Arabidopsis thaliana: one gene and its partners. The protein of the gene in region 3 interacts with the protein of the main gene of each other region in a pairwise test. Each region holds a gene or a part of one and is shown on either strand. Other genes may lie near its edges. The genes, in order: AT1G31130, GB2, ABCG13 and AT5G07340.

Region 1 (4,482 bases), 8.0 Mb from region 3:
TGTCACTTGTCTCTTTATTTTCTCCTCTATCTTTTTTATCACTCTCTTACCTTTCCTCATCTTCAATCGATCTATCTTTCTAAAACCCTAATTTCATGAGAATGTTAAACGAGAGAGTGAGATAGAGAAAGAAATGTGGTTGCTTTTTTTTTTTTTTTTTAGCAAATGAAACCTTGAGATCAACAGTTTCTATTTAGATAGGGACTGCTACTTTTGTAAGTATGGTTTGGATGGTTCATTAAATAATAATAGGTATTCTTACTAAATTTATTAAATAATAATAGGTATTTCTTTAGTTTGTGTTAGGATATGCTTATATTTAGGGAGAATTAGTTGTTATGACTTGTGAATTCGATTTAGGGTTTGAATGGTTATGGCGGTTGGGACGGACAAAACCGTCAACGAATCAGACTATTTTTATTTACAATTCATCAATGACCAAAAAAAATAGAAGAAAACCGCAGCGGATCATCTACGGACCGTTTTTACATACAAATAAACTTGGTCCGCAGCGGTTTATTGTTCGCCTCAAAAATGAGATGGACTAAATCGCAGACAAATTAAACCGCTTTGTCCGCTACCTCCATTCATAGTCTTACTGTTATAAATTACGTGTTGGGGTATTTATTTATTTTTCAATATTTTGATGATACACGGTCTATTATTTTTCTTGTAATAAGGCTTTAAGAGGCAAGTGTTTAGTTTAAGTATTGGTTTATTACATTCCATTAGTCATTCGATTAAAGTAGCTAGTGTAGAAAGAACCTAGTGCCAGAAGAAAAAAGATTAAAACACATTCGATTAAAAACACATTTGTTACATATCTTTATAAAAGTTAGAAAACCAAAACAAAAGTTGAAACTTGAGAGTATATAATCATGGACCGGCCGGTCTTGTCCATTTCTTATATTTCTCTATTCGAAATTGAAAGTATAATTAAAGAAATCGTGTGTGTAGGATAGTGCTTATACACCAACATTTGATTGCTAGTTCTATTTCCTTACGTAAACTTATAAGATCTCCAAATTAAACACATACAAAAAGTTACAAGTTCAATATTCATTGCAAAGATAATTTTCACATCTATTAATTATGTAAATTAGTAGTATTTAAGTTGACATGGACAGTTAACTGTTGGGACCATCGGTCCATGTGATTTCCCTGCACCTCAGATTCAGTGGAAGTAAGCATTAATCTTTGATTTTGTTTCTATCATAAATTAACTTCATCAGAAAATTTATTAATCCTATTTCAAACAAGGTCGTATCAATAAAACTTTTTTTTTTCTTCTTCGTATTAATAAACTTTTAACATCATTAATTTTCTGTTTGCTCTTTTTAAAGTTTTGATCCTGATTTCCTCATTATTACGTGAAAACAAATCAAAACATACATAATCACACATACAACCGAAATATCAAACCATTAAACTTTCATTTTTCAGATTACAATATTCAAAAAAAAAAAAAAAACAGATTACAACATTTCTGATATGTCGTTCAAATTAAATCATATTTATTCTTTGAACTTATTTATTTAATTTCAAAATGTAAATAAATAACATTAAAAAAATGTAGTACATATATATGTATTACAAATATGAAAATCTGAATACTCTTCTAGAGTATTCTTCACGGTGAATATTAGGTATTAGGTGCATAATTAAACTCTATCAAAATTAGATTTACCCTATCTTACCATTTCTTTGTAAGTATACAAGATTCATAAACTCTATAGAAAGTCTAGTTCCATGATTGCGTCTCAGCTCATGCAAAGAGAGTTGTGCTCATAAAACTTGACCAAATCTCCTTTTCCTTTTTGTCCATCTCTTTACCACTTACATATTTTCCCATAAAATAACGATTCCATCATATTAATTAAAGCAAAAAATAAACAATTAGTTGCCCCCCCCCCCCAAAAAAAAATGGTCACAATAACAATACTAGTCAAAACGTGTTATATGAGTTTCCCAGAAGTTTCCAAGGAAAAAAAAAGTCTTTACCCGTAAACATTTTTTCTCCATCTTCTTGATATCAACAAAACACACCTCAACAAAAAAAAAAAAACTTCATCTCTCTCAGATTTCGAAATTGACCCGTCGGTGATTCTTAATCTCTCCTCTCTGTTCTTCTCCGATCAAACCTCATTCCAAAGAAACAAACCATGGATCTCCAACCAGAAGAGCTTCAATTCTTGACAATACCTCAACTACTTCAAGAATCAATCTCAATCAAGAAACGATCTCCAAGAACCTTCTACCTCATAACCCTCTCCTTCATCTTCCCTCTCTCCTTCGCTATCCTCGCTCACTCACTCTTCACTCAACCAATCTTAGCCAAACTCGACAAATCCGACCCACCAAACTCAGATCGTTCACGTCATGATTGGACTGTTCTTCTAATCTTCCAGTTCAGTTACTTGATCTTCCTCTTTGCCTTCTCTCTTCTCTCAACCGCTGCTGTTGTCTTCACCGTCGCTTCTCTTTACACCGGAAAGCCTGTTTCTTTCTCGTCAACTCTCTCTGCGATTCCCAAAGTCTTTAAACGACTCTTTATAACTTTCCTTTGGGTTGCTCTGTTGATGTTTGCTTATAACGCAGTCTTCTTTGTCTTCCTCGTGATGCTTCTCGTAGCTCTTGATTTGAATAGTTTAGGTTTAGCTATTGTAGCCGGGGTTATAATCTCTGTTCTATACTTTGGTGTTCATGTTTATTTCACTGCTTTATGGCATTTAGGTAGTGTAATCTCTGTTCTTGAACCGGTTTACGGAATCGCCGCTATGAGAAAAGCTTATGAGTTGCTTAAAGGGAAGACTAAGATGGCTATGGGGTTAATCTTTGTTTATCTTTTCCTCTGTGGATTGATTGGAGTTGTTTTTGGTGCTGTTGTGGTTCATGGTGGTGGGAAGTATGGAACTTTTACTAGGACTTTGGTTGGTGGATTGTTAGTTGGTGTTCTTGTGATGGTTAATCTTGTGGGTTTGTTGGTTCAGAGTGTGTTTTACTATGTTTGTAAGAGTTATCATCATCAGACTATTGATAAGACCGCTTTGTATGATCAACTTGGTGGGTATCTTGGAGATTATGTGCCTCTTAAGAGCAACATTCAGTTGGAGGATTTAGATATTTGAAGATTTGTCAAGATGATGATTCTCTTGTACTGTTTTTCTTCTCTTATTACCATTCTCTCTCTCTCTTTGTAGTTTGTAATATTGGAGAAGAAGAAGAAATTTGGAATCTGAACAATAGTTTTAATGTAATGTGTATGTATTAGACTCAACACTCTTTGTTGTTGTTTTCATTTGATTATTATTACATGATTTGAGTTTACTAATTTATTCTTGTTGAAAGATGTGTTTTATTCTTCTCATGTTGATGATAATTATTATCCGTTAAAAATGTTGGGTTTTAGATGCTTAAATTGATAATAAATGAAGGAAGTGGCTTGTTTAGATATGTAATTAGCTGTAGGATTTGACCTTGGAATTAACCTACACTAAGTTAAGGTCGTAGGAGCAATTATTGTGGATACTTTTGTAATGTTTATAAATCTGAATTTTTGTTCGTGAGTGGGAGGTTTGGTTACACAACTTACACTAAACCGAATGGAAACCAAATTTAAAACTTAATTCAAAGAAGAAGAAGAAAACAAAAATACATCTTCATTCATTTTTAATCTGATTTTATCAATTTTTATTTTGTATTATGTGAATTTAAAGTTAGATGGTGATGTATCAACAACACTAACCCAAATAGTAACTAATGCTAAATATCGTGAATCATGATCAATGAAACAAATTTGGAATAATAAGTCAATGTGAATCATGCAATGTTTTGTTTTGTTACCCTGATCATGCATTGTTTTGTTTTGGAACAAAAATTGTCCTTTTTTTTGTTAATATATAAATGAATGAACCATATACATGCCACATAGATAACAAAATTTCGGTGAATCATGGAATGTTTTGTCAGCCTAAACTCCCAAGCAAGTATTGGTGGTACATCGTTTTGAGTTCTACTTCTATAGTTCTATGTAACCAAATATAAACTGAGATTTGATTGGGCCTTTTAATTCTGAAGTACCCAATTAAACTCTGGTTTCTAGGCCCAACAAGAACATCTTCTTTTACGAATTTTTATCAAGAACAAAATAACGTTTTTAAGGACTGCAAGCAACTTCTTATATTTCTTTGTCAAGTTTGTTGACTTATTTTTATGCGTCGAAAATTCTCATTCACGCTCAATATATAGTCAAGGATAAGATCGATTTTGTGACATACCCTATATTTGGACGTTAGATTCAACTAACATTGTACTAGCATTCGATCGTATGAAATATACAAATTCACTCACACATTAGCAAAGCCTTTGACAAAAAAAACACACACTTAACATTACTACATTAGCATTAAATATAGCGGATACATAAAGCACACATTTTTTATTGAAAAATACTATAGGCTTGTTAGTATAGATCCAAATTTT
Region 2 (5,342 bases), on a different chromosome or scaffold from region 3:
GCTCTGTCCACTTTCCACTGGTTTCTCTGTAATCGCAGCTCTGTGACAGAGAAGAACTTTCCAGTACGCCTTGATCTCTCGTTTCGAAAATCCTGAACAGCCTTATTAGCTGTGTACACATCCTTAAACATCACAAAAGCAACCCCAGCGCCTTGTGCTCGTCCTTCTTTATAAGCTGCTAACTGAGACTCCAAATCAGCTCTCAGTTCTTGCAGCTTCCTCAGTTTTTCATCATCTGTAAATCCAAACCTCTCTGTAATCTGAGACCACAAAACCTTCACCCTAACCCACAAAGAACACACACAGAACACTAGTCCGTTATCTCCAACATTCTCATACTCATCCGGTAGAAGCCTAGAGTCCATCTTGGCAACTAACCAAGTAATCTCATCTCGAACACGAACCAACTCTGTAGCAAGATCATCCAAAGCACACAAATCCATGGGAACAATAAACTTATAAACTTTCCCAGGGTACTTCAGCCTAAAGCAATCTTCAAACTCAACTCTATCAGACCCTAAATTCTTAGGCAAACCCTGCACCATTATAGTAAACACAGCAGTAGAATTCGCGTTCGGGTCACTGATATTCCCATTCCCATCTCTAAACCTAGTAAACTTCAACCTAGCTTCAATAGCAGCGATTCCAAAATGCGAGATAACAACAACAATAACAACAAACACAAAATGCAGCCAAAGCAAAGCTGAACCTTTCTGAATATGCGTAATCATCGTTTTCGAAAGCTCATCACTCAACAAAGCAGTCCCAGCATATAAATTCAACGGAAGCATAACCGAAACAGCTAAAACAGCAATGGAGAAAAGAAGCACAAAGCTTCCACCTTCAATTAAAAGAAACTGAGCAGCATCAGCACCACAGTGACGAGCGATCTCGCGACACGTGGCTTTCCAAACGGCGAGGAGCTTAGAGAAGAGAGCAGAAGGACCAGGCATACGACGGTGGTCGCTGCGTAGCTTAACGAAGAGAAAGATGGAGACGCAGCATAAGAGACCAATGACCGAGATATTAAGCAGATACTGAATGTTGCCGTACCAAGCATCTGGGATTTCAGGTAAGTCGCCGGAAGATGGAGGAGGAGAGAATGAATTATCTATTGTCATTGATGAAATCGGTGGCATCGCAGCTGGTGAAAAATTGCGATTCATCGCGAATTTCTCAACCAAATTGAGAAACCCAAATCTTCGAAGTTTCTTCAGAGATTCAGGATTTATACAACAAGGTTTTGATCAGGAGAAATTTGGGGGCTTTAGGGTTAGACTTTGGGGGAAGTAGATCGACGAAGATGATGGCAAAAGTAGAAAGGTAAATAGAAAAGGAGGAACAAGGAATGCTATCGCGGTTTCGAATCTCTCAAAAGATTCTTCTCCTTAAATCATGAAATTTAATCCCATCTTTTTAAGATAAATACACCCAAAAAAAACGAATTAACACAACTAAAAAATATAAATAATTTGATAGAAGTATATCAAATTGGTAATTTACAGAGTTTTTATGAATAAAACGATAGTTCTTTAAACGATAATTACATATTCTCTAAATATTTCGTGATTAGTAGAATAAGAGAATATAATCAAATTCATAACTCTTGTATATTCATTTTAATCAAATTCTCCTTAAAGCATGAAATTAATCAAATAATTTGAAGGTAAAATACCCAAAAAAATACGAAATAACATAACTAAGATCGGTTTGAGTTTGGGATGAAATAACATCCCCTGTTCTCTAATGGATGGAACTCTGTTTCGAATTTGCTTCTCGAATTTGCCATTGTAGACTATAAGCATTTGTAAGGAACTCATCTCTAATGTAGGATTTGAGTTCTTCTTATCTTCCCACTAGAACATTCATCTTAAACACAGTTATGTAATTTCCATAAGAGATATGAAACAGAGCATACTACCGTGATAATCCGGACACAATTGATATTAGTAGCCTTGTATCAAGGTACGTGTGTATTCCCCATCATATAATAAAAGAAGCTTTTGCTAATGCAAATTTCTGGTAAGTTCACAGTTTTGATGTGCAAGTTCTTTTGTATCATCAATTTAGCGATTATGGACTGCGCCATGCTTCAGATGAATAGAAAAAAGAAACTTATGCTGGTCTCGAAATCCACTAACCAAGCCATTCAACATCAAAGAAAAAAGCCCACATTATAAAAAAATAAAAAAGCCCACTTTAAACTATCAAATGCCCAACAATGGATGATGCACTAGTCGAGTCAGAGTGGACGGAGCCAAAGGCAGAGATGGATTTTAAGCTTTAATTTGTTTCCCAGATATTTTTCATCTGGTCCCTCTGTTTTTAAATAATTAACTAAAACGACTATAATAATTAATAAATTATACTATAGAGTATTTTGTGTGGATTTTTATTTACTGTTGAAACTTAAGGATACAAAAGAAAAACAATTATTCAGATAATTCGTCATTAGATCCCTTTAATTTTAGTAATTAAGTAAAAAGATTATAAAAGATGAGAAGGAGAAGATAGCTTCTTCATCGAGAAACCTCGAAATCAAAAAGCACGTCGGTGACTTGTACTCTTCAATCTCTTCTTCCTCTCTTTCACATCTCCTTCTCTCGAACCCATCGACCTGCGCTAATTCATCATCGACCTTGCTCAAATTCATCAACCATGTCTTACGATTATCTCTTCAAGTACATAATCATCGGAGACACAGGTGAGAGACCGATCTTTCACCTTTCTTAATTCCCAATTGTTTTATTTTTCTGGGTTAAATCCATTTCGTGCCGATTTTCATGTGTTTTCGTTGTTGTTTTTTTTGTCGTTTCAGGTGTGGGAAAATCGTGTCTGCTTCTGCAATTTACTGATAAGAGGTTCCAACCAGTCCACGATCTCACCATTGGTGTTGAGTTCGGTGCTCGGATGGTCACCGTCGATGGACGCCCCATCAAACTCCAAATTTGGGACACCGTACGCTTCCTCTCTCTTCTCTTGGTCGTAATTAGGTCATCAGGGAACTAATCACGTTTTATCGATTAGGATTGTTTTTTTTTTCTCCCTAAGGCAGGATGTGATTAAGAAGATTAATTGTCATAATCAATTCAATTTCTTCGTTTTTATATAAACAATGCCTCATTAGAATTGCCAATACCAAAAATTATGTTTGAAAATCATGTCCAGAGACTCAAAGTGGGGTAAAATTTCAAAAAAGTTAATCATTGCACGGTTCTTGATTAAGTTTCATAGGCTTATTGTAATAGAAGCTGAGTTCACCAGTGCATTCCTTGTTGTGATTTCTTCTGGTCAATAGTTCTTCCATTAGATGATGTATGTGTTGGAGTTGTGCTTTCTGATTAAAGTTTCGTATGATATTTTTTAGGCTGGACAAGAATCTTTTAGATCCATCACCAGATCATACTACAGAGGAGCAGCCGGAGCTTTACTGGTTTATGACATCACCAGGTTAGTTTTTGCCTTGCGACAATATATATCAGCTCGAACTTCTGAATTCCCCAGCAAGGTTTTGGAAGTGATTGGTTCTGTATTTGTGATTTGATAAACCTAGACTGTTGGAAAGGTTTTGGAAATTGGGAAGTTACTTTTATCTGAACAAAATCCTTGGCTATAATATTGGCAATGCTTGTTTGGGAGGATGTTAAGTTAACCATCCATCTTAAATTCTTGCTAAAATAGATATTTTTCCTCCATTGTTTTGGAATTTTGAAAGTTATGAAGGACATGAAGAATTGCAAGAGTTTTATCATTGAGGTTTTTCATGCTTTGATCTTTCTGAAGCTCAAAATTCTTGGTTCTTTGGGTTGCAGGAGAGAGACGTTTAACCATCTGGCAAGCTGGTTGGAGGATGCTCGGCAACATGCAAATCCTAACATGAGTATTATGCTGATTGGGAACAAATGTGATCTTGCTCACAAGAGAGCTGTTAGCAAAGAGGAAGGTCAACAGTTTGCCAAAGAACATGGCCTGCTATTCTTAGAAGCATCTGCAAGAACTGCTCAAAACGTTGAGGAGGTGACATTTCTTCCTTGCAACTCTTTTTCCCCATCCTGTTATTTGGCTGTAATCACATGGAGACTTTTGTCTTCTTTTTCTGGATTCCAACAGGCCTTCATAGAGACTGCTGCCAAGATCCTCCAGAACATTCAGGATGGTGTCTTTGATGTATCCAACGAGGTAATTTCCTTGTTGAATCTGGCAATATACTTAGTCTTCTGGTGTTCTCTAATCCCTCGATTGTGTTACAATGTGATTCAATTCCCTTGGTCTCTCTAAATTTTGCAGTCATCAGGTATCAAGATTGGTTACGGGCGTACTCAAGGTGCAGCTGGAGGAAGAGATGGTACGATCTCTCAGGGAGGTGGCTGTTGTGGTTAAAAAATCCTCGAGAGAGGTGTCACATATCTGCTGTAATCTGGTGATTCAGAAACTACTATTGCTTCTATTTACCTCTGCAAATGGATACACCAGAATGTATAGTTTCTCTTTCTTTCTTTCTTTTTTTCTCTTTTTCCCAGATTGTCTTTTATCAAAAAACCAAACGGGTGCATTTAAGAGTGAACAGGCTGATCTTTATAAACCAAACAGGCGTTGGCTTATTTAAAACGTTGTCGCTTTGTATGAAGCTCTCAAGGTTAAGTAATTGAAATCAAATCAGAATAATATCCAGTCATCATCTAGGTGAAATTTCCTTATTCATCTAAACGAACTGGTTTTAAAATACCCAGATGGTTCACAGAGATCCCAATAAGCAAATAGAAGTAGAAAACGAAGAAGCCATGATACCATCTTTCTTCCTCTTGGTCCCTTTGCTTTAACGCCTATTAGGTAATGTCCCTTCCCTAAGCCGCAAGTTATTGTATGTTCGCGTCACTAACATCAGTCTCGGATCATCCTCTGGTATTTCGCGTTCCTATGATTACCACACCACAAAAACCATCAATAACTAATACCAAGAGAAAGAAAGTTTGTGGTCAAATAAGAAAAAGGTTTTTTATTACTTTCAAGCCCTTGTAGTAAGCTTCAACAGCAGCTAGTGTTGGTAGAATATTCCGAGCTAGCATCAGATCCCATATCATATTTGCAACTGTGTACCCTCCCGTCTGCCATAAAGAAAATGTTTTTTTTTTTTTAACTTTCACTAAGCCAACTCTTTATATCAGTAAGATATTTCCAAAGTTTTTAGGGGAAGTTCAAGATTTTTACCTTTTCACCAGCGGCTTTGAGTAACAGATTGCTTCCAGTTCTTGGGTCTAAGAAGAAATTGCGTTCGTTCATTTGGATCTGCATTTACAAACAAATTGTCATCAGGCTCTACTATTGGCCCGTGTTTTGTTTAC
Region 3 (7,466 bases):
CCTCCACATCTATGATGTAGATGGTATCTGTGCAATTCTGGAAGATTAATGACCAATCTTTCGTTAACGATACCTTTACTTCTGATGCAGGCAGTGAAATATCGTTCTTCAAAAATGGTGTATGTCAGGGAGCGGCCTTCACAGATATTGTTGGCGGTCGTTACTACCCTGCTGCTTCGATGTACACTCTTCCCGACCAGTCAAATTGTCTTGTGAAGTTCAATTTTGGCCCCAGTTTTGAGTTTTTCCCTGAGGATTTTGGTGGGCGTGCTACCCCGAGGCCGATGTGGGAGGTTCCATATCATGGATTTAATGGTAGACTTGAAACTAATGGTTCTGAGGATATGAAGAGTTAGGCAGAACCAGCAGGCGTATTCTTGACATTTTAACACAGTTTTCCCAAACTAGTTCTTGGTTCAGATTTGGATGAGTTTAGTTGTAACAGTCATAGGGTAGCAAATGAACAACAAATGAGTTCTGTACATGTCTACTCTAAAATAATCAGACTGGTTTTTTCTGATTTTACAACTGGATTAGCCATATTTGTTTAAAGTTATTGATTGTTTGTGTATTTTTTTTCCTTACTATGTAATATTTCTGGGAGCTTATATTTGGGTTCCCAAAGTTGAAAATTTACCATTTTTGCTTGGTTTTACACTTTTAAGGTTTTAAGTATCTCGTTGTTTGTTCTCTATCTGTTCAACAAACGCCTTTGGGAGGTTACTTTTGTTAGTTTTGATTCTATTCCCTATCAACTATATGCTAAAAGAGGAGATTTCATGGCACTTAGTGATAAAAGTCAAATATGCCTGGTCTGTTCTGTTCTTGTGCTGCACAGATTATAGATTTGCGTCACTGGTGCTATCAAGCAAGGACCAGTGTTCTACTGCCAGCCAGGTAACAAATCTCCATACCATCTTCTGTTTATTTGATTTCCATAACACAGTTTCTTCTGAAGCTATGTTAGCAAACGAAGTGCCTTATTTGATATATTTACGGTGGTTCGTTGGTAGACTCTCTCTTAGGGGTTCATGCATGCATCACTTGTAATCTGATAATGTAGCCATGCTTATCTTTTTTCTCCAATATATGTATCTCTGATAGATACCATCCTCATGCTAAACAAATCTCATTAGTCAGAATGATAGTATCTCTCTTTTCTTTTTTTTTTCCTTACACAACGGGCTACAAACAGTTTATCAAGTTTGAAGAGAGTGACATCTGACATATTGAAATATATGGAAATTGCATCCTGCTGTATATGCTTCTAATGCAGTGGAGAGTTAAGTCCTTCCTGAGAAGAGAGAGCATGGTGAACAGGGTATCGCCTGGAAGGGAAAGGTGTCATTCTTCTGAAAGAAGGCCTTTTCTGGATATGGCTCAGAGTTCTCTTTGTGTATAACATGTGAATAACTGGGAAAACCTTTTCCCGGAACTTGAGGATGGCGAAGAAGGCAATCCTATACCCAATGAGAATCATCATCACAACTGCTAGATCCAACCACTTTGAACTTTCTGGATTTATGCCTAGAACAGTTTGAAGAATGAGTTCTCCTTTCATTTTTGGTACCAAGGGTAACGGAGAATCATACTCCACCCCAATCATCTCATTCTTGTATGCTCCCTGCAATTTATCAGGTATGCTCATTTAAGATAGCTACTTGACGATATAGTCTGCATCTTAAAGTTGAGAAAACCTGGTTACCTGTAGTGCCCATGCACCATAGTTTATGTAGGACACCGGGTATCGCCAGAACACCATTGGTAAGTCGGGGAAGAATCGGAAAAACCCCGCACTTAACACCATAATTCCCTATGAGATGAAGGATAAAGCGGTTTTCAATTTAGAATAGTTTTTGGAGATATAAGAAAGCTTGTAGGTGAAAGAGCGACAGAGGCCACTCTTACAATGTAACCAGCTCCCAACATGACTCCCATCAAGAAGTTAGGGACTACTGAAGCTATCATCATCATGCAACTCTCCACAGTTGTAATCGCGCAGATAAGGTCGAGACAGTTGTAGAAGAAATGAGAACCTCCGGATTGGAACCTCACCATGTAGATAGTGATTGAGCTGGTGGAGAGGCACATAAGGATTATGAAAGGTAATGAGGAGAGTAAATTAGACACAGTGTATACTGCAACCCCATAGTGTCCATTGAGCCTTTCGCGAGAAAACACCTGTTTTCAGGAATAAAGATGCTAAAACATAAGATAAGTTTTTAGGTGAAGAAAGAGAATTTTTCTCTGTTTAGCTCTTTACCTTCATTTCTTCAATGAAGGATTGGAATCCTCCTATTGACATGAATGTCATAAAGCCTGCCATAAATCCGCCACAAGCTGCAGTACTCATAACATTTGTGTGGTTTCTCCCGACGTTGAAGAAGATTGACCCGACACAAATGGATAACACTATGTAGACTGCAATCCGCATCCAGTAGTACCCCAAGTCTCTACTCATGTTGATGAAAGATCGCTGAGTAAGTATTCTGAGTTGTTTCCACCAATTAGTTTGGCTCCCCTTTTTCCTTTCTGTGACAATCCCCACCTGTTGCACAAGGTTTATAACTGTGCTTATGAGACTCTCATTATGTGATACATTGTAGTTTTAAGGGAAGTAGTAACCGTAACTTACTATCGATGCTATTTCTTGAATTCTTGCTCTTGAAGCTGCTGCATAAAGTGAACACTTAAATTTTCTGACAAGTGTTGTTCTAATTTCTGCAGTTGGTATATCATCCAGAGGATCTAATGTGTTTGTAGTTTCATGTAGTTGGTGAAGAGAGAAAGATGAATCCTGCAGATGTAAAAGGTCGAGGTCAAAAGCTTGAGAGTATTGTAAGTTCATGAAAAAACAAGAAGGGCAGAGGAAAACAAACGTTGATTCTCCGAGATTCAACCAAAGCCGCTGTGACATTATCGAAATCGGAATTGACACAGCGAAGGAAGTGGTCTGATGGATTCCGTCTACTTGGACAAGGAAAACCTGCTTCACCAAAGAACTGCAATGTCGAAGCAACAACAACACAAATGAGCATAATGGTTATATACTCTTGCCAATGCTCTATCTTATTACCTTTGTTGCAGATTCTGCTTCGCCAAAGTAAACAGTTTCTCCTCCAGACAGAAGTAGCAGGTCATCAAAGAGGGCGAAAACCTCACCACTCGGCTGATGGATCGAAGAAACCACAGTTTTGCCACTGCTTGCTATGTTTCTAAGAATCTGAACCACGAAGAAAGCTGAAGCACTGTCCAGTCCACTAGTTGGTTCGTCTAGAAAGAGGAGACTTGGTTTTGTTAAGACCTCGAGGGCAATACTAAGCCGTTTCTTCTCTCCTCCGCTTATTCCACGCAAATGCCAGTTTCCAATGGTCCTGTCTGAACATTCTTCAAGACCCATGTCAGTGATTGTAGCTTCCACAATGTCACTGATCTCTTCTCTGGTAAGCTTTGAAGGGAGCCTGAGATGAGCCGAGTAAGATATGGATTCTCTCACTGTCAAAGTTCCTAGCAACACATCTTCTTGCGTCACATAAGCCTGAGAGTTTAGGACATTCATGAATAATAATAGTTTGATTGTGTAAAAGGGTAAAAACTAAAGAGAAAAGATAAATTTTCTTACGGCAGCACCAAAGTCAAGTCTTCTCTTCTTGCCATTGACAAGTACTTTGCCACTCATTACAACATTCCCTGCTAATCTTCCTGTACCATCACCAAATTTACCTTTTAATGTTAGATGTTAAATCTTTCATGTTTTTGAACAATCTTATAGCATTGATAGAACAATCTTATAACCCGGTTTTGGGTTTTTCGCTTTTACAAGAATATTAGCCACAGTAAAATTAAATTGGTTTCGATTAGTCATAAGCATAAAATAAAGATCTTCTTAATCCAATCAAATTTAGGTTTGGTCAAGAAAATAATAATCGATTTGGATTGTTTTTGGATTGAACGTAACATCCCTCAAAGAGTCCGACCAGTCACCAAACCGGGTTCAACTTGTGAAGAGATCGCAAGTCGGTATGAAGATACGATCGTGCAATCCTAAATATTTGTGTCAGAATATTGGTGATTGGTAGTTGGTTAACATTTAAAATATGATTTAATAAGAAATGTTACTGCAAAATTTCTGTACATAGTCTACGTTAGAGAAACGTAACTATCAATTTATTCAATACTAAATGTACGACGATGTAAATTTATTAATTAAGAACATGAAAATTGCAACTATTTTTTTTTTAATATTTATTTAGTACTCCGATAGTATATAGCTATACTTAAAAAATAAAATTGGTAGCTAGAATCCATAAATATAAAGTTAGAAATATCTATATATGTCTCATCGTGTACATGAAACTTAGATATAAATATAGCACTGTTTTTCAATAGTTATAAATATCTTGATACATAAATATGTTATATCATGCTCTCAAATTTCTTTTACATATATATATGTTACGTTTGGTCAAAGTTACAGAAGAAAAAAAAAAAAAATTACAGAAGAGTACAAAAACTTCAGTTAATATTTTCATTTCACCAAATTGTGATACTGATACAGTATGTACATAGTTTGTTGCTTTCAAATAGGAAAGTTATCAATTTTATTGTAGTAATGTATTTTTCCAATATACAAAAAACTAATCAAGTATCATATTAGTTAATTTTGATTACATACGAATTTACAGGTTAATAATAATTAAATATTTTATGTTGAATAGGACACACACCCACCCACGCACAGACATACACCTATATATATATATATATATATATATCTAACAAATAAATTCTAACTTATATTCTCAAATTTAACTACGAATGGCAGAAATCCTTATCAATTCCAAATAAAAATTACTAAAAGATTTGTGAATATTTTTTAATGTAAGAAAACAGAAATTTCTTATTTTCCAAAAGTGAAACACTTTTTACATAGTATATTGAGAAAGTTTCCTTGGACAATTTTTTAAAAGAAAGACATAACGTCATGTATATTGTTAATTATAGTTATATATATATATATATAGAGTACATAGAACGATTCACTAAATACTAGGTTCAAAGTGGGTAAGTCTCATCCTTTAATGTTGGTTTCAAAGCTAAATGTGGTTGGTTGTTAAATTCCTCTAAAAACTATATCTTTTAATTGTTGGTCGATGTTGCTTCAGCTTATTTGAGATTTATATAATAGAGGAAAACCATTTAACAATAAAAGAAATACATAATAAAAACGACGAGCTAATCTTGACATGTATGGGTGTGTGTGTCTGAGAGAGAGAGAAGGGACCTGCTAAAGCATCAAGAAGCGTAGATTTGCCTGAACCTGAAGGACCCATAATAGCTAAGATCCTATTTGGCTCACCACAACCATTCACTCCATTCAGTAATCTCTTAGTTGCTCCTTCACCGAAGTTTGGTATCACCACCGTAAGATCCTCCCACGCCACATACATCGCCCCCTCCGGCGTAGTCATGTATGCTTTTGTTAGATAGATCGAAAACTGAGCGAAGAGTTTTAAACTTGTTCTAGCTTAAGAGTTTTTTTTTTTGTTTCTTTGGGAGAGAAAAGTGTAATGTGTGTGAATGCTTGTGGCCTTATTTATAGTTATAAAAAGTTGTGCGGTGAATGTATTAAGAGAACTAGGGTCTTTGAAAAAAAAAATGTATAAATTAGGGTGGTCCAAATTGGTTTAAACTAATTTGAGTCAAACCGAAACTGTACCAAAGAAAGTGATTGGAAAAAACTAGATGTAATAAATTCGGTTACATATTTTTGATATATAAAATAAATCATGACTAAAAATAAATAAAACATATAGTTTAGTTAAAATAAAATAAAAAAAATTTAGAATCCGAAGAAAAATCGAACCAAACTAAATGATATTGGTTTCTATTTATTTTATGAAACCAAAACAAAATATCTACCCATGCAAAACAGAAAAGTGGATTAAGAATAGTGTAAAAGACAGAAAGGAAACTATTATATATGTACACTATCATGCATGCATAGACGAGGCATGTGACAGAAAAATTGACGTTTGATGTTATATTCATTTACTCGTTGGACCCGTTCGGTACTATATATGTCGAGAGCTACAGACATCCGCATGATAAGAAACTTATGGTTTCGTTACACGATTTAAGGAAACATAACACTTTAGGGTATATATCACGTAAATTGCAATAATTTTATTTTCTGGTAATTTTGTCCAAATTTTTTATAAAATTCCGATTTGGTTGGGTGTATCAACTAGTATAGCACTCCAAAACATTGTTTTTTTTCAAACGAATCACAGAGGAAATTCAAATCCATGAGGAGAGTCTATACTATTCAACTCAACTATATTTAGACGCCATTACTTTTGGAAAATTATTTGAATTATTTATATACATTGTGAACGTGATATATATAACTTAACATCGACATAAGGCCGTATATCAGAACGTTTAGATTAAAGTAATCTAGTTGTTGCATATTGAGTTTATGTAACTGGTAAGAAAGTAATCAAGAGAGTATATAAGGAATTTTAAGTATGTTGTGTAAACATATGATTGGATCAATTATTTTATCATAATGGCCGAAAATTAACCACGGAAAAGGTTATCATTAATATTTTAATTATTTTTATAAAGCAATTAATTTTGGTCGTATGTTAAATTTCTTATTGAGATATACTATTTAGTTTCTGCCTCTGGAAAGAAACCGTCCAATGTTCCTTGCTGCTTCAATGTGGTTCGTGTTGGTAATTTTTGAGGCAAAAGACGGATTCTCAACGTCATAAGATTTTTTTTATAGTGACTATTTTTAATCTCCCCCAAATTGTTTGCAGAAGTGTATTCGACACATCATGAGCTTGCTTGTTGCATTTTGCTATTTAACTTTTGTTTTCGAGTTTTTATTTATGGCCCCCTATCATCTATTTTTATTGTTTATCAAACCTATCGTTCTATTTATATTGTAAGTTTATATATTTTTTTTAAGATTATAATACCGAACCATGAATTTGAAGAGCTTGCAAATTTATTCTCTTTCGGATATGACGAATGGAAAACAAGTATGTTGTAAAAAAAAAAAAAAAAACAGATGGTGACGGATTTGTTTTAACCATGTGATGTTTTTAACCATGTTTCGTGCTAATCAAACACATACACAGTACCAAATACACTGTTTCAACGTTTATGTCTTCTTGTCTTCAATTGTATCAACAGAAATTAAAGCTATGTAGTTAGTGTGACTAAATTATTCATTTCTGCTAAGAAAGAAAATTCATTACTGCGATAACCTAATCATAGATTGTTAGATAAACTTATTAAATGACTTCTTCCATCTTTTCCATATCATAACTATAATCAATTTTTTGTTTAACCAAAAAAAAAACAACTATAATTATTTTCTTGTGGTCCATAAATGCTAGAAATATCCTAATAAAATATATGTGCAATAGAATTTTACATATAATTAGCTTTTA
Region 4 (5,475 bases), on a different chromosome or scaffold from region 3:
ATAAGGGGAAGTTTGAACCATGCTTACAGTTTTTGTGTGTTTTCTGGTCCAACTTATCTTTCCATTCCTTAAGCCGTCTTATTTATGTTACACTGACATTAGAAAGAACAAAAAAAGAGCAGAGACTAAGCAGGAAGGATATGGTCGTTGGAGCAACTTTGGTCTTATTTTCTGATGAAGTGACTGCATCATCTGCTGGCAGTCAGCCAGCTGGTGAATAGTGCTGAGCTCGTTCTTGCCCGTGGTTTTGGAAATGTGGTTAGACACACAGATTTTGAAGAGCGATCAAACCTTTATGATGCTCTTCTGGCTGCTGAAGCTCGTGCTCTGTCAAAGAATCCATTCTGCAAACAGACCTAACTGTGGTTAGTATATCATACGAGTCTCGTGCCATGGCTATCAAGACCCTTTGGTAGAGAAGTCTAAATCTCGAAGCTAAGATTTTGTTGTAAACACTCGAGCTAAAGACGATAAACTGATAATGCTGATGCATGTGATGTACACAACCCATTACTTATCAAATTTCAACTCATAAATGTTGTGATCCACATTCAGATTCATGTGAAACTAAAAGCATACAAAAAAAACATGTTACAATAATCGTCTTAATATCAGGTCCACTACTGTTTGTCTATACGGTGATAAATCAAAACAAAAAGCCCCAAAAATCAAAATCTAATCCTCTTTTTATCTAACTCTCACGCCTCGTCTGCCTCTTTCGTGGTGCAGCCACCGCTTCTGCTTTCTCCTCTGTCTTTGCCTCGCTTGTCGAGGTCTCTGCAGCTGTTTCCGGTTTCTTCTTTTCTACCTTAGCCTACATACATACCAAGAATTTCGTTAAGACTCAAACACCCGCCAACCAAAACATTACATCTCACTGACATGTTTTTTTTTTACCTTTGCACCACCAAATATGAGCTTGAAGAAGAGAGAGAGGAAGACGATCACGATGGAAATGAGCACACCGATGGTTAAGTTTGGCTGTGTTTCAGCTTTCTCAATAAGTTCCTACAAACGAAAATTGCAAATTCTCATTTAAGATTCTTCATTATACAATATGTTTCTAAAGTCTGAAAATGAGAACTTACCATAATCTTTGACTTGTACGCACTAAGGAAAGAAATGTCTGCAACCTTGTACAAGAGGTCGAACACCTTCTTCTGCAGTAATGCACATACATAATATAAGTACAAAGGATATGTATAAGCATTCCAAATTTGTGGCGAAAATCAATATACCTGGTAACTCTTGAGACCATCTGCCTCACCAGCAGCTTCATCCTCTGCCTTTTGTTTCTCTTTCTCCACATCAAACTTGGGCTTCCAAGTGCTTTGTCTGTAAGTTTCAGCAACCTTCTCGTCTTTAGATATCAAGATGTTGTCAAATAAGATACCGTCTTGCATTGTCCATATCTCAATACCAATGGCAGCAATGGGCTCCAAATTCGGCCTCTCAAGCTCAAAATAATCAGGATTTGGAATGTCTCTTGGTTTCCAGATTCCCTTGTAAGCTGGGTTATCTATGAGAGGTGAGCTCCATTTGCCCTTGTAAGCAGGGTTCCTCTTCATCGGTCTCTTCCATTCGCCACATCCGGGTGCTGCCTCACACTTGGTGTTGGAAACCTTAGGAGCCTCCCACTCACCATCTTCCTCGTCATCCCAATCTTCTGGCTTGCTTGCCTCGGGGTCTTCAACCTCTACAGGCTCATCATCCAACCATCCTTCGGGTTTCTCAGCTTCCTCATCTTCAATCTCCATGGGTGCATCCTCATCCCAGTCATCAGGCTTCACAGCATTAGGATCAGGAATCTTGGCTCTCTCATCCCAGTCTTCTGGCTTCTTGTCCTCTGGATCAGGGATGGTCTTGGAAGGAATCAACGGAGGCTCAAAGTCTTCAGCAGACAGTAAATTACCCTTCTTCTTCTCCTCACCATCGACCAAAATCCTCACCTCATTATCAGATTTCAAGACCGCAGTGTAGACATGAGAAAGCATGTCAAACGGAACAGAAGGAGGGAACTTGAGATGGTGCTCAACAAACTCGCCACTCTTGGGATTCTTATGCTTCAAGATGAAATGAACCTTGTTGGTAGCACCACACTTATCAGGTCCAAACATGATAGAGTAAGGAGAATCATTATCAAACCCTTGAGGAACCCATCCAGCTTCTTGAGGACGAAGATACTTTAAGTAAGCACCACCACACTCAAGCCCTTCTTGGAAACGAGCCTCGTATTGAAGAACAACAGTTCCTTCGTTAAGGTTTAGAGGCTCATCAACATCAAGCTCTTTAACTATTCCGTACTTCTTAGCTTTCTCACTCACTAGAAGTCCATAATCATCATGCCCTTCACTCTTCTCGTGCTTCCACACACCTAAAAGATTTCAAATAAGAAGCAACCTTTTAAGAGCTCACACAAAGTCTGTTTCTTATCCACTTATAGTAAAAGTAAACATTTCTAAATCTGTTCCAATAAAAACCAAAACTTTAAGACCCCCTTTTGATTGTAACTTCCATTACACTAATTCTAACTTGTTTTTACTTCAACAGACGAAAGAAAACCAAAAAATTCAAAACACGAATTCACTACGACGACATGGCTTTACCTTGGTATTCAGCTTTCTCTGAAACGACCCAGCGACCATCAAAAGGCTCGTCAAACGATTCATACAGGATCTGAACAACAACAAAAACACCATGTTACTGGAGATTCGATGAACAAATCTTTAAAATAGGAACTTTTTCAAGGAAGTGACCAATCACCGTTTGGTCGTCACAGTAGCTAACACTGGGAAACGAAAGCAAAGCTACAAGAAGCAGCGAAACGAATGTAATAATCCGTTCTCTCATTATCGCAATCTCAAGAGAAGAGACAAAACAGAGACTCAAAATCAAATAAGACAGAGAAGTAACTACTAAGTAAGTACTAAGTAGATCAGAGAGAGAGATATTCTTTACTCTTTAGTCCTCGTATTTCTTAGACCTACGAACGTCATTTTGATTGTTATCTTCCAATGAATATCGCTCGCCAACGTGACACTACCCTATCACCTCTCGCCAAGTCATCCAAAACAAAGCACCGACGCGTGCAAAATTTTACCCCACTAGGGCCTGGTCCTGGGCCTTGACCTGGGCCCAATTAGAATGCGAATGAATCCTCGGACACTCTTAGAAGGTTAGGAAGTTAACCATTTTATCTCATTCAAACCTAGACCCAAGAAATTGGTTTCTCCCAAATGAGTATTTTTACTAAAATCGTTAATCCAGAAGAAAATAGAAGCAAAACGAAGTTGTATTATTACTTCGACCGAAATTTCATTAGATAATTTACATGCTGTTGAAACAACACAAATACACTCAAAAGTTGCTTGATCACTGTAATACATCCAAGAGGAAACAGGATAAAACCTTAACCGACCCATTTGAAAACTCTTTGATCTCCTTCAGATGTTTTATTTATCGACAGAAACATGGAAAACAAAACACATAAACCAGCCTTCATAAAAACTTAGTGAGCTGCAGCAGCCGATATCTTAGGATCAACGCCAACATCCTTAAGCGTCAAGGCACGAGGTTTATGAGCAAACTGGTCTTTCCTGATTGGGTCAGAGATCACATCCTGCTTGTCAAACTCTTGAACGTGAGCTATTTTCCTAAACCAAGACCTGTTAGCGAACCGGTCCGCTTCGTTTAGAACTCTATCTGGATCTTCGATCTCGGGAACGGTCTCTCTCATCTTCTTGTTGACACGTACGCCAGGGTTTTCATGTAGATGAAGATACGCAGTGTAGACACCAAATGTTACTGACAATGAAATCAATCCTATGGAGACGTAAACTGGTGTGAAGTCACCTTTTGTTGCTGCCGCTGTGGTGGCGGTTCTCTGGCCACCATACTCTGTTGCCGCCGTAGAATACGCTTTGGATCTTGGTACGGTTGTCGCCTTCGTGTAAGTTCTTAACCTCTGCACTACGTTTTTCAAGTGACCCTTCAAACACAAAATGATAAAAGTCAAATCGTGAAGACCAAATGAATCATAGAGAAACGACGACGTCTTAGGTTACTTACGGTTGATCGAACGGCCATTGGTTGTTCTTGGCGAGTGATTAGTAAAATCTAGCTGAAAAGAAGAGTAAGATTTGTACTTTTTGTTGTTGTGGATTGTGCTATACTTGAGAGCGTTTTAGATATCGGATATAAAAGGAAGATGGAGACATCTGGAGTAGAGAAGAGAGTTGTAGAAGTAATACGTGTAAGCATTTAAGAACATGCAGTTTAATTCGTGGAAGTGTCTTGAAGATCCACGTCAAATCAGATTCCTTATAATTGGGATTCACTGCAGTAATGCGCGTGTTTTATTTCATTGGTTCTGTCAAAATTAAAAATATGAGATATTAATTATATTTTAAATTTGTATGCCTAATGGATAAGACCAAAATTTGTGTATCTTCTTTTACTGGTAAGCTCTAGCAACCCTCGTCTTACCACGCGACATGTGACAATCACATTGCTGCTGTGTCGATGGAACCGTGCCTTGCATCGAGTAAATGAACCAATGGCACGAAAATCCATCAAGTACTAAATGAACCTATGTCACGAAAGTATGTTCTTTTGTTTTTAAGACAAAAATGAAGAGATTAAATATGTTTGGTGTCAATTCTAATGAAAATAGTTATATTTTCTCGTCTTCGTGTTATCGTTGTATCGACATTCAAATTTAAATTCATATAAATATTATGTAAAAAAGATGGAGAAATATTAAAACGACATTTTCAACGTAATATTTATTGTAGCCATTAATTCTATAAAGTTTGTCTATATTTAAGAAATATAAAATAATTAATGCATTTTTTATGGAGTTCTTTTTATTTCATAGTGCCTTTATTTAAATAGTGAATTCAGTACTATTCATAATTTTAATAGAAAAGTAAAAGTAAACAAGTTATTTGGGATAAAGACTTAACTAAAGTGCTATTTGGGATAAGACTTAACTAAAGTGGGCAAATCTTTCTCAATGAGGAAATTAAACAAGTTTTAACTACTGATTTAAATACAATAAATTGATACGAGTTGAACTAGTGTGCTTGGTGCTTACTAGCTCCCACTTTAATGGAATTAGTGCTTATTCGACGTAATTATTTGCTCATTTCTATTTTTGTTATAAATAAAGCGGTGTAAAGAGCTTTACAATCCTATATAAAGAAAGAAAGGCCTATACATTAACTATGTAAACAATATATATAATCGTATTCACATTTCATCTCTACTTTACGTTCTTTTCAAACTATGAATATTTTTCTTTGTATCGTGACTTTTACTCACTCACCACAATTTTTTAAAAATGATGTTACGTACTTTTATCATCAAGAATAAACTAAATGGCTTAAAGAAGCATTGGTCTTAACTGATTGATGATCAAAGAGTCTCTAAGTTAACCACGACTGTAAACTAAAACCTAGCTACGTAGGTCATAAC

The links.
Region 1: the proteins of ABCG13 (region 3) and AT1G31130 interact in a protein complementation assay, tested with the Arabidopsis thaliana proteins (one large-scale study listed by BioGRID).
Region 2: the proteins of ABCG13 (region 3) and GB2 interact in a protein complementation assay, tested with the Arabidopsis thaliana proteins (one large-scale study listed by BioGRID).
Region 4: the proteins of ABCG13 (region 3) and AT5G07340 interact in a protein complementation assay, tested with the Arabidopsis thaliana proteins (one large-scale study listed by BioGRID).

What each region holds. Positions count from the first base shown.
Region 1 is NC_003070.9:11,113,609-11,118,090, reverse strand, and holds AT1G31130 (polyadenylate-binding protein 1-B-binding protein), read left to right. Parts: upstream 1-1,895; 5' UTR 1,896-2,162; coding exon 2,163-3,128; 3' UTR 3,129-3,398; downstream 3,399-4,482. Other genes in the region: GOA (GORDITA), read right to left, coding at 1-60.
Region 2 is NC_003075.7:16,986,156-16,991,497, reverse strand, and holds GB2 (GTP-binding 2), read left to right. Parts: upstream 1-2,450; 5' UTR 2,451-2,658; coding exon 2,659-2,704; exon of another isoform or gene 2,705-2,818; coding exon 2,819-2,958; intron 2,959-3,367; coding exon 3,368-3,450; intron 3,451-3,812; coding exon 3,813-4,017; intron 4,018-4,110; coding exon 4,111-4,179; intron 4,180-4,287; coding exon 4,288-4,380; 3' UTR 4,381-4,658; downstream 4,659-5,342. Other genes in the region: AT4G35870 (early-responsive to dehydration stress protein (ERD4)), read right to left, coding at 1-1,166; AT4G35850 (Pentatricopeptide repeat (PPR) superfamily protein), read right to left, coding at 4,817-4,915, 5,004-5,105, 5,209-5,286. UniProt on the Arabidopsis thaliana protein: Intracellular vesicle trafficking and protein transport.
Region 3 is NC_003070.9:19,075,865-19,083,330, forward strand, and holds ABCG13 (ABC-2 type transporter family protein), read right to left. Parts: upstream 5,588-7,466; 5' UTR 5,472-5,587; coding exon 5,285-5,471; intron 3,703-5,284; coding exon 3,623-3,702; intron 3,539-3,622; coding exon 3,077-3,538; intron 3,003-3,076; coding exon 2,880-3,002; intron 2,798-2,879; coding exon 2,636-2,797; intron 2,549-2,635; coding exon 2,264-2,548; intron 2,182-2,263; coding exon 1,909-2,181; intron 1,814-1,908; coding exon 1,706-1,813; intron 1,625-1,705; coding exon 1,268-1,624; 3' UTR 974-1,267; downstream 1-973. Other genes in the region: TRO (TRAUCO), read left to right, coding at 91-356.
Region 4 is NC_003076.8:2,314,675-2,320,149, reverse strand, and holds AT5G07340 (Calreticulin family protein), read right to left. Parts: upstream 2,938-5,475; 5' UTR 2,851-2,937; coding exon 2,740-2,850; intron 2,677-2,739; coding exon 2,607-2,676; intron 2,375-2,606; coding exon 1,239-2,374; intron 1,161-1,238; coding exon 1,089-1,160; intron 1,009-1,088; coding exon 898-1,008; intron 815-897; coding exon 692-814; 3' UTR 501-691; downstream 1-500. Other genes in the region: Tudor1 (TUDOR-SN protein 1), read left to right, coding at 1-28, 107-129; AT5G07330 (NFU1 iron-sulfur cluster protein), read right to left, coding at 3,509-3,988, 4,069-4,086. UniProt on the Arabidopsis thaliana protein: Calcium-binding protein that interacts with newly synthesized monoglucosylated glycoproteins in the endoplasmic reticulum. It may act in assisting protein assembly and/or in the retention within the ER of unassembled protein subunits.